Linked DNA regions of Drosophila melanogaster. The protein of the gene in region 1 interacts with the protein of each later gene in a pairwise test. Each region holds a gene or a part of one and is shown in the gene's direction. Other genes may lie near its edges. The genes, in order: Lgr4, CG7379 and CG11409.

Evidence for each region.
Region 2: the proteins of Lgr4 (region 1) and CG7379 interact in a two-hybrid assay, tested with the Drosophila melanogaster proteins (one large-scale study listed by BioGRID).
Region 3: the proteins of Lgr4 (region 1) and CG11409 interact in a two-hybrid assay, tested with the Drosophila melanogaster proteins (one large-scale study listed by BioGRID).

What each region holds. Positions count from the first base shown.
Region 1 is NC_004354.4:13,185,563-13,191,668, reverse strand, and holds the start of Lgr4 (Leucine-rich repeat-containing G protein-coupled receptor 4), read left to right. Parts: upstream 1-2,504; 5' UTR 2,505-2,740; coding exon 2,741-2,759; exon of another isoform or gene 2,760-2,854; coding exon of another isoform or gene 2,855-2,864; intron 2,865-6,106. Other genes in the region: CG12723 (uncharacterized protein), read left to right, coding at 1-667, 733-1,633, 1,697-1,902.
Region 2 is NT_033777.3:17,795,274-17,800,929, reverse strand, and holds CG7379 (uncharacterized protein), read left to right. Parts: upstream 1-2,625; 5' UTR 2,626-2,820; coding exon 2,821-2,962; intron 2,963-3,043; coding exon 3,044-3,996; intron 3,997-4,057; coding exon 4,058-4,264; 3' UTR 4,265-4,554; downstream 4,555-5,656. Other genes in the region: CG17803 (uncharacterized protein), read left to right, coding at 1-206, 407-1,245, 1,302-1,622, 1,690-1,930; pasi1 (pasiflora 1), read right to left, coding at 4,852-4,935, 5,017-5,067, 5,130-5,229, 5,291-5,565.
Region 3 is NC_004354.4:1,337,743-1,344,274, reverse strand, and holds the start of CG11409 (uncharacterized protein), read left to right. Parts: upstream 1-2,687; 5' UTR 2,688-2,950; intron 2,951-6,052; exon of another isoform or gene 6,053-6,375; intron 6,376-6,532. Other genes in the region: Naa30A (N(alpha)-acetyltransferase 30 A), read right to left, coding at 332-496, 740-985, 1,061-1,783.

The sequences.
Region 1 (6,106 bases):
TCGATCGGTCACGCCCCCCGCCAGCACAACGCCCACTTTGACAGTGACCTCCGAGGATGCCCCGCTACAAGAGGAATCGGTGGCGGAGAGTGCCCCAACGGCCAGTGTGGTTACCGAACCGGAAACGGAAGTGGAGGTCACGACCGGAAAGCACAAGCGTGGCATTCTACACGGCCACGCCCACCTGCACGGCCAATGGCCCGCCCGCACCTATGCCGCCCACTACGGCTATAGCCTGCAGCTGCCAGGAGGCAGTGCCTTCCTGGCCGCCGCTCCTCCGCGCCGCCACTTCGTCAAATACGGCCATGGTCTGGTCAAGCCGCTCGTTTCCGGTTCCGGTTTGCTGCCCGCCTTAGCTCCCGCACCCGCTGCCCTGCTGCCCGCCGTCGCCTCAGCCCTGCCCGTTGGATTGCCCACCGGTCTGCCCGGTGGCGTGGCCAGTGCCATTCCCGCCGGAGTCGCTACTGCCTTGTCCACCGGCGTGGCCACCGCTTTGTCCACCGCCGTGGCTCCGCCCTCGTACGTCCTGCGTCCCGGAAATGCGGTCGTCTCCTCGTACAGCGTCAACTATCCGCACCAGCACCTGCAGAAGCCCGTGGTCTTTCAGTCCGCCGTAAAGCCTGTCCACTTCCATGCTCCGGCTCATGGCCATGTGCATGCCGTGCAGGTGAGTTAGCTACATAGGAAACTTGTGGAATATCCCGTTGACCATTTCATTCTTTTCTGTTGCAGCCCACTTATGTGCAGACCTATGCTCCGACTGCTCCGGCAGTGCCTGTTCAGCCCGTGCAGCCAGTGCAGCCAGTTCATCATCTCCAGCCCATTCAGCCCCTTCAACCGGTGCAACCGGTGACCACCCATCTGCAGCCAGTTAGCCCAATCCAACCGGTTCAGCCCCTTCAACCGGTTCAACCCATCCAACCTACAGTGACCTTCGGTGTTCCGTCTCCCCCAGCTGTGGATTTGCCGGTGATCCCTCAGTTCCCACAACCGCCTCAGTTCCCCGGTGTGCCGACCTTTAGCTTCCAGCCCGCTCAGCCAGCGGTGCCAGCCCAACCCGCTGTGCCCGCCCAGCCGGCAGTTCCAGCTGCACCAGAAGCCCCAGAAGTGCCACAGGTTCCCGCCATTCCACAGATTCCGGCCATACCGCAGATACCCCAAATACCACAATTTCCCGGATTCCCTCAATTTCCCGGCTTTCCCCAGATTCCCCAGTTCCCCCAGGCGCCAGCCATTCCATCACCTCCCTCCGTTCCAGGAGTTCCAGCTGTACCCACGGTCCCGGCCTTCCCCAGTCCACCAACTAGCCAATTCTTTCCGGCTGCTCCACAGCCACCATTGCCGCAGCAGCCACCCACTTTTGGCCAACCAGAGTCGCAATTCCCCGGCGGAATTGTACCGCTGCCGGGCTCCACTCCCGTCCGCCCTGAATCCGGCACGGGTATAGCCTCGCCGCAGATTCCCCCACAATCACCCGAGCCGGAGACGCCGTCGGAGGTGCCACCACAGCGGCCATCCGTCCAGCAGCCCTGGAAGCCGGTATTCTATAGTCCACCCACCGAATCCGCGCCAGCGTCGCCGAATCGACCCTCGATCACCCTGCTCCCGCCATACGGAAGTGCGCCAGCTGAAGGTGAGCTCAGATGACGTTATGGATATATATTATTATGCTATATTTCAAACGAATATTTTCCAGGTTACCTGCCACCCGTGGGATCCCAACCGTCGGCCCTGAGTGCCAGTAGTGCCGGAATCGGTGGTCAGGGCGGCATCTTTGACCAGCTGACCGATGCCGAGCTGGAGCACATTTTCGCCCAGGCCAACTTGGCGCAGCAGCAGCACCAGCAGCAGCAGCAGCAGCAGCAACAGCAGCAACAGGGCCACAACTACCACCACTACTGAGTCCACCACTCACTCCACCTAGGGATCTTTTCAAATTTTTTTTTGTTTTTTTTTTTTAAGCCTTCGTTCATTTGTGCTCTACTTGTATTGTAAATTATGTTGCTATTAAATAAGTTATTTATCGAAAAATTGAACAGATCGTTTATTTATTGCGTAATAATAATAAATATAATAAATAATTTAAATAACTAATTCTATTGCAAAGTATATGCGAGATATAGACATAATATCTTAGTTTATTTCCTTTTGGCACATACATATTATCTATTTGAATTTCATTAGGAAATTCCCTTTGGCTCGGCGCATTTTCATTTCCTGAGCTTTTCCGGCGCGCGCTTTTCCCCCAAAGGGCTTTTCACCTTGAACTTGGCGTTCGTTGGTTTCTTTGGAGCTTTTCCCGTTCAGCTTTTCATTCATAAATTGCCAGCCGGCGCGCTGAATGAGTGCGTTGTGTGCTTGGTTGGGTGAAAAGTGGGCGGTTGGGCGGTCGGCTGGGCGGCGCCAGTGGGCGGGGCACCTGGAAAGGCCGCATGCCACATGTTGCAGGCATTCGCTCGCCTTTTTTTCAGCTCAGTTGTTTGTTATCGTTGGCGGCGAACGCGCGTCTGCTGCGGACCAAAAATCGACTATATTCCGACTATATACCGCGCATATATATTTTTGGATCCACCGATCCGCGATCTTACACATTGAAGTGCGGCGAAGTTTTATTTTGATTTTGATTCTTTTTGGTTTTTTTTTGTTTTTTTTTTGTGCTGTGCCCATCAGAGTCTATAATTAAATATTGTTTATTGCCCGTTGAGACGGTGGAAGAAAAAAAAAGCGAAGAACTCCCTGGATGTCAATAGCGATCATGCGTACGTCCCGGAATAATAAACAATACCCCTTTTTTTGTTTGTGTGTATATTTATCGGTGCAGTTATAGAGAGATGCCAGATATCCCCCGATTCCAATGTGTATAGGTTTTTATCTACTTTATTCGCAATGTTTGTGTGGCATTTTAACGCGAATCGAAATAATAAACCCGGCCAAGATATTGACCATCTGCGGATGTGAAAGTGCCTGGGATTTTCGATGGTTGTGTGAATGTTATCCATGCGATAATTGAGGGTTTATAATTTAAGTGTGCTACCTTTAGGAAATTCATATGAAATATACATATATGTATATATAGGAGGGTATTTCAAGTTTGGATTCAAATTGAAATTAAAGCTAAGACAACATAAAGAATACAAAAAAAAAAAAAAATCATTGAGAAAAATGGCATGAAATCGAATACAGGCTTGAACATTTTTTAAATGGATAGTGATGGCAAAAAGTATACAAGCCAAAACTTTCGAAAATGAAATAATTTTACAAAGAAATTCCAAAAGTTATATGCACGAAAAGGTGCAAAAGTGATGAAAGTTCTGGATGTTTGACAAAGTTCAAAGGGCACCAAGAAGTTTTTCGAATAAAGTTTGAGCTCGAGAAAACATAAATGTCCGCGAATAAAAAGTGCATTAGATACAAAAGTTTTTCTTTTTTTTGCCGGTGCGTTGCTCAATTTTTTTTTTATGTTTAAAGTTATATAATAAGAGTACTGAAAGAGTTTGCAAATAAATAAATGAAACTATTTAAGGCATACAAAGAAATGCTACGAATTTTTGGAATATACATATAGAAATGATGCAGGTTTTCTTAGGTGTAAAAATGTAAAATCATTATGCCAAAACATTTTACACAATCCAATCAAAATGTTGATGATTGACAGGAATTCGCGTTGGGCGGTTCGAAAAATGCACCGAATTTGTATTTGTATCGAAACGATTTTCAATTAAAATTCTGTTCCAATTTGCATATTAATTTATGTTATTAAAATGGAGCTGACGCCTCAATGTCTGGTATTTTGCGCCATCTCTGTCGCTCCCAGTGCCGGCAATGTCTATTTCTATCTCTGTCGATCGATGGGTCTGTGTAAAAATTTTGTAATAAAATGTCATTAAGTGTAAGTGCGTGGTGCCGTTTAGATTTATGTGCCCGAATGAATTGCAAATGCCTAGGCGAGAAGGATATGTTCGGTTTGGAAAAGTTGAAAGGGTGGTCTGCACTGGTCCAGGGTGGACTAGGGTGGCCCAGAATGGGAGCCCACCGGTCTCCTTGTGGTTCCGGTGGCCAGAAAACTGGGCGCTGACCTGACAACGCTTGGTGCCCCAAAGTTGTGTTATTAGTTGTAACTGCGTTGGCAGCTTAGACAAATCCGTTCATCCCCACTATATAGCACAAATATATACATACATATATTATATATAGACATATATATATATATATATATATATATAGCTAGCGCCCTGGCTACGGGGATTATTTGTCTAGTCCCACCCCACAAACCACATCTTTTAATGAGCCACCGAAAACCAAGTGGAATGTGTCAATTAAGTGGGGGTAGTCTCCCTTCAACATCCCCCCCCTTCAAATTCTATTAAATTCACCAAAACTATTTGCGTAAGCTGCTTGGGGTAATTATTAGTTTTTTTTTTCTTTCTGTATTTATTATAAGCTTAGTCGCGGGATTGTTTAATGATGGCATTTAGTTACGTTTTCCTGTATCCACTGGCAAAATATGGAAAATATTCAACATATCTTTAAAAGTACAAACATTTTGTACTTTCTTTAATTGTATGATATTATATTTAAGGCAACCACTCTAATTAACGAAAACGGGATTGCATATCGATGGCCAGGGTATGAGAAAAATGTGAAATTCTAGTTACCAATTGGCCCAGTGTTAATTGCTGTTGATTTTCCTTCAAAACGCTATGTTGTGTCCTTCGTAAGACATTATCCTAGTTACAAAGCTTAAGCTGGGTAAAGGAACCCTGGCGAAACGGAAATAACAAATTGTAACTCAGGTAGCGGAACTCTTAAATCGAAAGGGTTAAAGTGCGTGGCCCACAATTGTTTTTCTTTTGAATTCGCCCCCTCGATTTTTCGTAACTGTGTAAGTGGAAGCCTGGCGATTTGCCACTTAAGCACTTGTCGCCGGCGGGCAAATGCCAACCGAAAATATGCGGATATGGCTCTGGAGTAATAATCCCCATATACCCATATACCCATTTTGCAACCAACTTCGGTATTCCGCCTTTAGGTAATTTGAATACGGCCAGCAATCGTTATTTATGGGACGGCGGTTCTACAGTTTCAGTTGGTCCGCATGTGGGTGCACTGCAGCGGATCCATTAGCATCTAGTCGCACACTCGAATAAATATGTGTACAGTTTAACAGAGAGTTTGGGTCTAGTACCATGTGCATGGGTACTAGATACGAAATATGTAAATAAATAAATAAGTAAATAGAAAGATACATAAATGTACATACATACATCCCATTTTAAGGAAATGAACTGACCTGTTTTTTAAAACACTATCAATTTTTCATCTTTATTGTTTTTAAATTTCCAAATTTTACACTAACATATTTTTTCGAGTGTCCCCAGATTGCTAAGCATCCCCGTCCATGTCCGTATCCGTATCCGTGTCCGTATCATTATCCGGCGTACGCTAATCGATGCCCACGACATCCGACGTCCGATGTCCAATTTCCAGAGGGCCAATGAATTGAAGGCCCACTATCAAGTTTCGGAGCGTGGGTCCAGTCCAGATCCACTCGGGCTTTTAAGTTGATCAAGTAATCCATACATATAATTTTGTGGTGTTCTTTTTTGAGGCGTCGCATAATTGAATTGCCAATGGTGGCGGCAATGACAGTACAGTGCCCGCCATAAAGGTTATGCCTCATTAGGGGTTCACTCGGAAGTGTTTCGTGGTGTTCAGCGTTCAGCCGTTGAGGCCTCAAGGCATCTTATTCTAAATCCGAAGCGGACATGTTAGGCGTTCTGAATGATTGGCGAGAAAAAAGCGAGGATAAAACGGAATGGGCCGGGAAAACCCCGAATGGAAAGTGGATTGGGTTTGTGATTGGGGCGGGGTCATATACATAGCTCTTATATGATTGAAATGCGAATGGATCAATTCCTCTATTTGGGTGGCAAACGGAAATCCCGAGGGATCTGAAGTCCTGCAGAAAGGCGCAGCTCGCTAATGAAGTGAAAACACATTTTGCCATCAAAGAAAATGGTGAAGCGTGCAACAAAAATTGGGATTTCATTTTTTTTTTTTTTTTTTAATGCAATGCACAAATACATGACATTTAGTTTCAGTGCAA
Region 2 (5,656 bases), on another chromosome or scaffold:
CCCTGGACACGACCACAGCAGACAGTGCGTTTTTTGATAGTGATTTCGAAGAGGAGAGCACTGGGCTCCAGGAATGCGATCCCCCGCCGGCAAGCAAGTGCCGCACCTGCTTTCGCATCATATCGCGGCATGAGGATGCTCAGGATCTATATGACAGGGTCAACATAGCGCTTCTGCACCACATAAAGGTCATCACTGGGGTGTGGGTACGTCTGCGTCTGCATTTAAACTTACGTTTTCTTTTTTGTTGTTAAATTGTTTCATCTTCGTTTTATAAGTTAACTTTGTTGACAAGGAACATAATATGTGAGTTCTTAAACTGTTCTACCACAAATTTAACAGAAAAATAAACCCACTATATAATATTATAATAAAGCTGCATTAAAGAACTAACATTTTATTGCAGATACAACAAGGAGTCAAAGAGCTACCGCATCACATTTGCTCAACGTGCCAGGAAACTGTGAATAAATCCATGGAATTCCGTGCCAAATGCCAGCAGGTCGACAAAAAGCTTAGGCAGACGACGGAAAAGTACAACATTCAAATCTGTGACGAGGAAATGGAGTCGGAGCTGGAAAATGTGCTCTACGAAGAGTCCGCCCAGCAGGCAAAGGGAGTCGTAGGACTAGAAGATTTCAGCTCAGAGTTGTTGCCGGATAGTGAGGGTGTCCTGGATGAAGACGACTTTCCACTGGATGCAGAGCCAACTCAGTTTTCACTAAGTGAAGATGAGTTGGATCTAGACAGAGACACAGAAAAAGACTTTGCTTTGGAGCAAAACAAGTCATGTAATGAAATAATTAGCATACGAAAGTGTAAGACTAAGGAAGAGATTGGTAAGGTAGATCACGGAGCCAAGGTCTATAAGGTTGTGCTCGGTGAGTACAATAGCCTAAAGGAAACTGCACCAAAGTATTCGCTTTCACTACCAAAGAAACCTCAACTAAGGGTGAGTCCAGAGGAGAAAAACCGAAGGCGCCGCGAAAGGATACAAGCGAAGCCATTGAACTATGTCTGCGACAAGTGCGGCCACACCTTTCGCCAACGCAGTCAGCTGCAGATGCACTTGCTCCGTCACAATAGGGCCAAGAATTTCGAGTGCCCCGAATGCCCGAAGAAATTCTACGATCTCTATACGCGCAACATTCACGTAAGAGCGCTGCACAAGGGCGAGCATCCCTTTCCCTGCAACCATTGCAATGAGTCCTTCGCAAACGCAAGCAGTCGTCACAGGCACGAGAGGTGAGTGCACCTACTATTTGATGGTTCCATCATCTAATCACTTCGATTGACTCCAGGGATGTTCACGGAGCAGGCAATCGGATTCGAACGCGGGTGAAATCAAAGGAAGAGGGATCCAGTCGCCATTACTGCACCCAGTGCACCAAAAGTTATACCAGCAAGAAAGGTCTAGTCCTGCACATGAACTTCCACAACGGAAGCAGACCCTTCCAGTGCAAGATTTGCCAGATGAAATTCGCTGACCCATCTGCCATGAAACGACATCAAGCTTTGCACGACAAGTTTCCCATTCGCTGTGACATCTGCCTAAAGGGATTCCTGCTGCGCTCCCAACTAACAAAGCATCAGGATGTACACACAGGAATGCATCCTCATCGGTGGGTGCAAAAGAGAATCCCGACTACTGTCCGTTTACTTATTTCTTTACTTGATTTATATTGCCAGGTGCGAGATCTGCGATGTTCACTACCGCCATAGATATAATCTAAACAAACACAAAAACACCGATTTGCATCGGGATAATATGCAGAAAGCTATAAAAGAAGAAGTTAATGGACTGCAACAAGCATTTAAAGATATTGATAAGGAAATGGACTTTGAATCTCAAACACCAATGCAGCCAAATGCACAGGAAGTGCGAGCCAGAACTCAGGATGAAAAGACTCAAACTATTGAATATATATAATTTTTATAAAAATTTATATACTTTCATGGCGAAGTACGTAATACTTCTAAGGTGACGTTTAGTAAGTGCCGACATAGAAGATAATGCACGAACAATATTTTAAAAATATATAATTCGTATAATAGTATTATGCATTTAATAACGTTAAGCTTAATGAAGAATAGACTTGACAACCTAAATACAAATCTGAATAGTTCAGACGTATGTTTCATGAAAGGAACAATAAATATTTATATTATTAATATTAAATAATAATCAATTAAAAAATAATATAAGTGCATTTGTTTTTCCTAATTAAAAAATCAGCTGATACTGTTATTTGAAATTCTCCAGTTTCCCGGGCAAATGAGTAAGGGGTTGGTTTTGAACGTTTCCTACACTGGCCGTTGAATGAATGATACATGATTTTAAAATTACGATAATTGTAATAAAATGAATACAAAAAAAGGACTGAAAGTAATAATTAAATTTGTATTTAAAGGGAAAATATTTTTAATACTTTCTATTGCCTAGGGAAATGATGAGAAGATATTTGACCACAAACTATTAAAACCAATATTACTTATTTATTAAAAAATTCAACCGAAACAGCAGTGCCGTTAACCACCCCGATTTCAGTGTAGCAAAACACCAGCCGACTAGTGTTGCAAAGCACAACCACCCATTGTATACATACATATAAATAATACCTACGCACACATACACGCACACACGAGTACAGTCGCAAGTTGCGACTCGCAACGCCATACAAAAAGTTGGAACTGAGTGGAATCGGAGTACTATATAGCCAGCCGATCCCTTCCAGAGCGCCGGAAGAGTAGCTCACATCCGAACCCACGTCCCCGAGCCGATGTCGCGGCGGGAATAGAGCGATTCGCAGTCCAAACACGATGATAAACCCCATTGCATCCGAGTCGGAGGCCATCAATTCGGCCACCTATGTGGACAACTATATCGATTCGGTGGAAAATCTGCCGGACGACGTGCAGCGCCAGTTGTCACGCATCCGCGACATAGACGTCCAGTACAGAGGTGAGTTCTGGCCGAGATTACGCCTGTTGGAAAAGCGGAAAACCTAACCTCCTCTCTTGGTCCAAACCCGTCGATTTGCAGGCCTCATTCGCGACGTAGACCACTACTACGACCTGTATCTGTCCCTGCAGAACTCCGCGGATGCCGGGCGACGGTCTCGAAGCATCTCCAGGATGCACCAGAGTCTCATTCAGGCGCAGGAACTGGGCGACGAAAAAATGCAGATCGTCAATCATATGCAGGAGATAATCGACGGCAAGCTGCGCCAGCTGGACACCGACCAGCAGAACCTGGACCTGAAGGAGGACCGCGATCGGTATGCGCTCCTGGACGATGGCACGCCTTCGAAGCTGCAACGCCTGCAGAGCCCGATGAGGGAGCAGGGCAACCAAGCGGGCACTGGCAACGGTGGCCTAAATGGAAACGGCCTGCTTTCGGCCAAAGATCTGTACGCCTTGGGCGGCTATGCAGGTGGTGTTGTGCCTGGTTCTAATGCCATGACCTCCGGCAACGGTGGCGGCTCAACGCCCAACTCGGAGCGCTCGAGCCATGTCAGTAATGGTGGCAACAGCGGCTCCAATGGCAATGCCAGCGGCGGAGGAGGCGGAGAACTGCAGCGCACAGGTAGCAAGCGGTCGAGGAGGCGAAACGAGAGTGTTGTTAACAACGGAAGCTCTCTGGAGATGGGCGGCAACGAGTCCAACTCGGCAAATGAAGCCAGTGGCAGTGGTGGTGGCAGTGGCGAGCGCAAATCCTCGTTGGGCGGTGCCAGTGGAGCGGGACAGGGACGAAAGGCCAGTCTGCAGTCGGCTTCTGGCAGTTTGGCTAGCGGCTCTGCAGCCACGAGCAGTGGAGCAGCCGGAGGTGGTGGTGCCAGCGGAGCCGGCGTAGTTGGTGGCAATAATTCCGGCAAGAAGAAAAAGCGCAAGGTACGCGGTTCTGGGGCTTCAAATGCCAATGCCAGTACGCGAGAGGAGACGCCGCCGCCGGAGACCATTGATCCGGACGAGCCGACCTACTGTGTCTGCAATCAGGTGAGTTCGCAGTGCTTTTCCTATCGAAAAGCTTCGCCACTAATCACGTTTTCTATTGCAGATCTCCTTTGGCGAGATGATCCTGTGCGACAATGACCTGTGCCCCATCGAGTGGTTCCATTTTTCGTGCGTCTCCCTGGTACTAAAACCAAAAGGCAAGTGGTTCTGCCCCAACTGCCGCGGAGAACGGCCAAATGTAATGAAACCCAAGGCGCAGTTCCTCAAAGAACTGGAGCGCTACAACAAGGAAAAGGAGGAGAAGACCTAGTCTATTAGGCCAGCCTATCCAACCCATTGCTCTGTGTCTAACACCAGGCTCTGTAAAATATTCGATCCTAAGATTTACCTTAATGTATATTTAGTGACTTTCTTAGACCCGATCCCTTTTCGACTTTCCCCTCTTTCACCCAGTTTAGATCCCTCGCTTCTATGGTTATAGGTCGTCAGTTTTCATTTAAAGTTTCTGTACAAACAATATCTTTCTCAATGTAAACACACAAAAACTCGTATAATTAGAGTACACCTAAACTTAATTTATGGTAATAAACGTTGATATTCAAAACCCACAATAATTTCTTGGCCCCAAGGAGCCCGTATCCAGTAGCAGTAGTTTTACGAATCTATTTGTTTAATTGTCGTTTAGAAGACTAAGGCATTCGAATTACACATAAGTATAATTGATCGTGTATAAATGTGTGTAAAATATATAAATTTATATAAAACTATTTGGTAGGCATCTGTGGAATTGTATGGAATTCTTATTGTAAAAAATGCGCATGGACGGAGTTCTTGTTGCGTGTCAAGTCAAAAAGTATTCTAATAGATTATTCGAGCTTCTGTATGGAGGTTCTTCCATCATGGCATGAGCAGCTCAATGTTCGGATTCTGGATCTCCAGGAATATCTGGTACTGCGAGAAGACCACCAGCCAGCAATAGATCTAAGTGGATGAGTAAAATGGGTTTATAAACATAATGATACAGGAGTTGGTGTTGCTGTCCCTTGAATTTCAAACACTTACATTGTAGGCTACCCAAACGAAGTTCAAAAGGGCCGAGAAGGTTTGCTCCAGCTGGCGGTAGAGTAACACGAATTCATTAGCTTTAGTTAATGGAAAAGATAATCGCTACTCACATAAATATAGTAGCCTCCAATAAGCCAAAGGCTCCAGCTAAACTGGAAGAGAATGGCTAGTCCAATTAGACCCAGCCAGGGTAGCAGCCATCCTCGAGTGCTGAGAAACAGATGCAAGCATGACTATATCCGTACATATAGGAAGCCAGAGCTCGTCTTACCTGATCTTAATACCGTAGTAGACCAAATAGGAAGACAGGATGATTAGCAGGAAGTAGATGATAAAGAAGCCACCTGCCACGGGCATCGACGAACGTATATCCGTCTCAAAGAGCGGGGAATAGAGCTGCGCAGACTCCCCGCCTGCTAGCATATACGAAATCAGCGTGATCATTACGGCGGATAGCGCAGCCGTATAGCCGGCCACGGCATAGCTTCCCGTCCGGACATTATCCGACCAAATTATGGGCGACCAGCAGGAGCTCAGCACTACCATGTTGCTGTGGGAAAACACCGGGAGACACCAATGAACAAACTTCTCCGATCTCAAATTTCTTTGGCTTGCGTGACAGCGTCAACGCCCAAAT
Region 3 (6,532 bases), about 12 Mb from region 1:
CCTCCTGTAAAATTAACCAAATTTCGGGTCCGTTGTGTGCTGCTCGTGCTGCTCCTGCATATGTAGCAGATGTTGCTCGTACTGCTGCTGCTACATAATAAAATAATTTACAAATGAAAGAGAGACAAGGGACGGTGTGAGTTGGGGAGAAAATAAACTGATGCTACGATGCTTCCTAGTTAAATAGGTACAAAAAAGAGGGCGCCGATACAAGCTGCCAGCTGGCCAGGACCCAGGACGAGGGGAGCGCCCTGGTCCTCCGCAGAGCGCAGATCTCGACATCTTCGGCGGCTACTTAGACAACAATTTCAACGGCAGCCGCCGGGTCCACTCATCTAAACCAGAGCTTCAGCCGCAGCGCGTCCACCCCGTTAAGATAGTAGCGGAACAGCCGCTTATCTCGCACGAAGCCCAAGTTCTCGTAGAGCCGCAAAGCCGGCTGGTTACGCATCTCCGTCTCAAGCACCACCTCGTCGGCATTGTCGGCCAGCATTGCCTGCAAATGGGAAAATTGCAGTGTGATATAAGTTTTCACAGAAAGAGAGGTAGTTGGTATGTATCCCTCGCCAATGTGCCCGAAAGTATACCTCGAGGCTCGAGGAGCCATTGGTGAGCTTTGATGGCAATTTCATCCATAGTTAACAACACATAATTGTTCCGTAACACACATATCGAGCATCGATTACATGCAACCCGATTTATAACTTATTGCAAGGGAAAGATGCCCCAGACATCCTACCTCTATGGCCTTGGTGACCAGCGTGGTGCCGATTTTGAGCTTGCGATACTCCTTGCGCACGGCCAGCATGGCGATGTAGCCGCGCCGCACGTTCATGTGCATATCCAGCTTGCACACGATGGCGCCCACGTACTGATTGTCGTGCGAGGCGAGGAAGCAGAGTTTTGGCCAATTGTAGATGAAGTAGCGATACGTGTATATCGAGTACGGCTCGGACAGCTCCGCCTGGATCAGTCGCATGATGTCCTGCGTGTTCGATATGCGGGGAATTAGATAAGTGTTGCGCACAGTTCGCACTTGGTCATACTTGGAGGTACTCACATGCATTTGGTGTTCAGCCTCGTATTCCTTATATACGATCTCGTCGGCTGAAATGGCAGGTTCCGGCAGTTGGAGCTGTGCTGTAATGGTGGGCGTGGCCCCCTCTGCATAGTCGGAGGGCGGTTGCTTCCTCTCCTGCTCCCGACTGTGGCCACTCCCCGTCGCCACATGCACTCCCTGTTCCACAGCTACATCCTCCGACACTTTTGGTTTTGGGTCCGTCGTTGTGGTTGGGTGTATGTTGGCAGTGGTTTTGCTTGTGGCTGTTATGGGCTTCTCCTCCGGTTTGAGGGAGTTCGAATCCGATCCTCCGCCGTCGCCTCCTTCTCTTCGCTGCTTGCGGTTGTTGTTGCTGCTGTCCACGCTGTTGTTGTTGTGAGTGCTGTTGTTGTTGTTGCTGCTGCCGCTTGTGCAGCGAATGTGATTGTTGTTGCTGTGCCCATGTGCATGGCCATTGACGACCTCCCCAAGCGGCCGAGCCTCCTGCTCCTTGTGACCATGGCCATTGCAAAGGTGCATCTTTTTAAGCAGGCCTCTGAGTTCCTGCGCTGGCTCCTGGTCTTCCGTCGCCTCCTCCTCTTGGTGCTGAACGTGTCCATTGCTGGGTGTCTGTGCCTCCACCTGGCCACTGGAATTTGGATTGTGATTGGGGTTCTTCTCCGCTGAGTTCTTTTTGTTCTTGTACTTCTTCTTTCCGGCCGCCGCTGCCTGGGCATCCGCCATTCTGAAAAGCGACGGAATTGGCTCTAAGAGGGAACCTGCTGCTCCTCCGGGGCTTATCTGGGAGGACTGGTAATCCTCGCCTGCAACCGTGTGCCTCGGACTTATTTTTGGTTATATTTTCACAGTTGATGGTTTTTCATTCACACGCACACGCACACGCTCACGCACATACTCACACACTCGCGCACGCACACATGGGGCAGTCGGCCGTCCTCTTTGTTGTGCTTCCGATATTCGGAGTTCCGGATCGATCAATCCGATCTCGATTTGTGGCGCTAGTGCGTGTGCATGGCAAACTTATGTAAAATCCTATATCCGCAAAACTCGTAATTTTCCTTGCTATGAATAAATCCCACCCACACATATGCGCGAACAGCTGTAACAGCAATCGATTGGCACTCGATACTATCGATACAATCATCGCCGGCCAACTGTGACTATCGGCTATCGAATTATCAATTGATATTATTACTATTAAATTAACAGCTAAGATTAATGAAAATATTTAAAAATTATATTAAATAAAATCTAAAACTACGTTGATTTTATCAAATTTATATTTGGCATGCACCTTACATCGCAAATGTTCATATATTTGATATTTGATTAGATTTGATCTTTGTAATATTATTACAATCTTTAAACGTAATATTCTCATACCTATATTCTTTATAGCTGCCATTTAATTTCTGACTTTGGAATGTTAACTTATTTGTATTTGCAATACTTTTGCCAAATTAGATCGTCAGCTTGTGCCTTTTTGCGAGGGTGTGCTGTACATAACGGAAAAGAGGATCAATAATAAGAAGAAGAAGCTGCTCATTTCAAAGTTCTCTTCTTGTTCTTCCTTTTCTTCTTAAAGAAGAAGCAACTATTTTACGGCGTAAAGATTTTTGATTTACGGGACTTTTGTTTGAAAAAAGTGCTGCAAATCAGTTTGAAGTGTTAGTTATAATTAAGTGCATGTCGTGGCAATGAGTAGCATCGAAATGTTACCCGAAAACGGATGGAAGTCCAATAAATTGCTCGAAACGTATGTTCACTTACACTCGCCATTTAAAAGTATACGTGTGTGTGTTTGTGTGTACGTGCGTGTTTTCTCCTGCGCTTATTTTTTTGTCTCTTTTGTTTTGTGATTTCCAAACTATTAAAAACGTTCTTCAATTGGTAAGTTACTAGTTAAATTCAGTTGTACTAATTAATAACTCTGCAGTGCGACCTTCGCCTACTTTTGGTTTCCTTTTCGCGCCATTAGCATTCGCCATAAAATAAAATCCATAAATTACAGCTAAATCAAATGCAATAAAACCAAATTACAATCTCGAATCATATAAGTCACATAAGTCACTAATCCGCAGTTTCCTGAGATCTGCACTTCCTCCACTTTCCTTGCCGTTTGTCTTGGTTGAGAACGCAGGATTATTCGGAACTTGCAAAGGTTTCGAGTCAAATGAAAATATAACCCCTGATTTTACAATGTATGTACATATGTATGTGGTAACTGCCAGGAGAAATCCGCCTGCCGTTTGCTGTCAATTTTGTGGATTTTTAACGACGGCAATCAGTCGACTGTTTTAGCGTTATAGCCCGTCGCTTTGATGGGGACTCCAGCTCCTCCCAACGTCATAATCGAAAGACTTGGGTAACGAACGAACTCGGCATGGCCGATGTCGTTGCCTCTCAGTTGGGCTGGCTGCCCCCAGAACTGGGACTACATCAGCACTAGCTGGTGACGAAATCGGCTGGGGAGGCCAGGCGGTCTCGATCTTCGATCTGCTTTCGGACCAGCATAGCCTACTTTGCATACGGAATTGGACTTGAATTTGATTGACTGAAATTGAATAATCCGAGCCACGCGATTGGATAATTTCTTGAAATTTTGCATACGAACTTGCAAGCGCAAGTTGGCGTCCGTTTTTCTGGACGTCTGTTTCACTTTTCGCTGTTGCTGCAGTGACGCGGGCAAATCCAAAATTAGCAAAGCAAACAACATACGGAGAAAGTGAATGGCCGAATAAAGTAAAAGCAGTGGCGGAGAAAGGGTAACGAAGAAAGGGGAGAGAGCGGGAGCGGACAGGTGCCGCAGCCAACGCCTTATCACCTTGCTGGCGGAGATCTCTAAAAGATAGAGATACAATTTAGCACTTAGCACCCACGTGACGAAATGATATATGCAGTTTGGCCACAATGGCATGGACTTCTTGTTTTAAACTATATTTTTTGTGTCGGTTGATCATGGTAACTGGCGGCTCCCCAGCCAACGGACATAGCATTGTCAGTTGGTTCGTCAGTGAAGTTGGTTCTATAAGTCAAGAGCTACGTATGCTAAGGCCACCTAAGGGTATTAGGGTATTTGGCCTGCGACCTGGGTATTTGACCAATTTTATTTTGCACATCCACGGCGCATTAAAGCAATTCACTTTTTGCGCGATGCTCCATAGCTCCATAGTTCCATAGCTCCAAGCCGAGCCCCACTCCATTCTCCCGAGCATTTGGCCGTGTCATGTCAAGAGTTATGGGCTTCGTAATTTTTCTGAGTTTTCGTTTATATATTTTTGGTTGTTTTAGTTCGGTTTCCTTTGGGGCTTTGTTGTTTGCCGTGTCGCAATGCTGCGAGTGTGCGCAAATGGCAAAGTCAAAGCGCATGCGCTCCAAATGTGAAGCACCTGGCCAAACCCTACCCCTAGTTCCACCTATGTACCTTACCCATCCCAAAACAACTTAAGTGAAGCATAAGGCATGCGGCTCGAGCTGAGCTAAGCAAACTAAAACCGCAGACGAATGTGTCGCGTCAGCGTTAAATTGTGTCAAATGTTGTCACACACAAAAAAGCAGCCTCAGCCTCCCTTTTTTGCGGCGAGGCGGTAAACACCGTTGTGTGCAAATGGCAAATGTTACAAATAACCAAAAATCGTTTTAATTATTTCGAGCAAAACGTGCCAAGCGCAAAATGAGCCCAACGTTTGTGGCCTGTGTGTGGCCCTATTGAGAAACTAGGTTTAACTGCGTCTTTAAATTTGTAGCAGTAATCGTAAGATAAGACAGAACTCTCATGTTTTGCAAACCCAATGGATTTTCCCGGCCGGTCCACTTGAAGTCCGGAGGGATCAGAGCGATCGAGTGGCAGCGATGGGAAGCACTGGAGCCCGAGTTCATTGAGGCCCATCGACGGTCTTCGATCGTTGAACGGCTATATACAGACCATGGCTGGCCGCGCTCCTTGTGCGTGAGTTTTATTATGCAAGCGGAGCGGAGCAGAGCAGAGACCACATGGTAATAAAAACCAAACCAATATTAGTCCGCTACATTGCGGGGCGCAGCAGCAGAAAGCCAGAGAAAACCGAACCAATCGAATTTGTCAATGGGGGAAAGAAGCTGGCCGAAGTGAAATGCCCGTGCGCTAGCAGAAACCCGTCTGCATCCACGGCAGAGTGCTGTTTACCTGTTCACCTTCCCTGGCCAGAGCCATGCTCCGTCTTATCATCGTTCGCAGTGTACTTGGTCAAGGCAAGCCAGCCACTTTTAACCGGCGATCAACCGATTTGATGGGAGCTGGGCGATCAGCGGTTACCACGACCGGCCTCGCGTCGCGATCGTAATCCCTCCCAAAAATGTCTTCTAAGCCAAATCGATTTTTAATTGAGACTTCGGCGCCAGAGCGCTGCACCCTGCGTTGCCCAGGGCAGTACTTAAAGAACCAGCCAACTAGCAATCTGCTATCGCTATGTCATGCCAATCATTCGAGATGAGGCCTCGTTATTATTAGGTGCTAAAATCGTTCAATCTGCAGCAAAATAGTTTAACTCAATGCAAGCTTGAGCCGTATGGTTACTATTTCAAATGTTATTGCAGTACATATAACAGTCTAGTATAGTACGAGTGTCGGCACATGACGTGCATTAACATGCCTTTTTAAATTGCTTTGTGTTAAGTGTGTTTTTACAATGAACCAATTTATGTAATGGCTCCAAGCGAGCCTAATAGATGGTATCGTATATGTGAGGCCAGCAAGTTGGAGCACCGAATCTAGGCTACGAAATGTAAGTTTATGCCATGCATTTCAAATGGGATTAAATGGATGCATCTAATCAAAGCACTCAGCATCCAGTGTTTTCTAGCCCCGACTTCTAAAGAGCCAGATCGCCGCAGCAAAAGCGGTAGTAGCAGCATAAGCCGCAGCAGCAGCACCAGCAGCTGCGGCGGCAGCAGCAGCAGCAGCAGCAGCAGCAGCAGCAGCGAAGTTGGCCAAGACGACTTTCGGCCGGGTTCAGTACGCTGCGAACGCTCATTGAAAATGGTCTGCAGGCCGCGCATGCGATTGAGACCGAAAACGAAACAAAACCGAGTCCGCTATCTATCTATATCGATACCGACACAGAAGCCAAGCGACAGTCGCGTGTTCGCGTTTTGCTTCGATTTAATTTCGGTTTTTCCTTCCTCGATTTTTTTTAACAGTGTGGTGTGCTGTGCTCCGTGTGCATTGAAAGTTTGACGCCTCTGAAGTTGTGAAAAAGCGTCTCGATTCGATTTAAATTTGGATTTTTAGGAGTGCGCGGCGAACGTGAGCGAGCGAGCGGCAGAAAATTTAAAATGTAATTGAAAATAGTTGGCTACTGCTGGTCCGCTGGTGACAGACAGGTTATTGGTCTTGCACAGGTGGTGCAAGCAACAAACAAAAGACTTAGGCAACGAACTCACGATCCACGATTCGAATAGGCTGCACCGCAGCAACGACCTTGGCACAAGGGC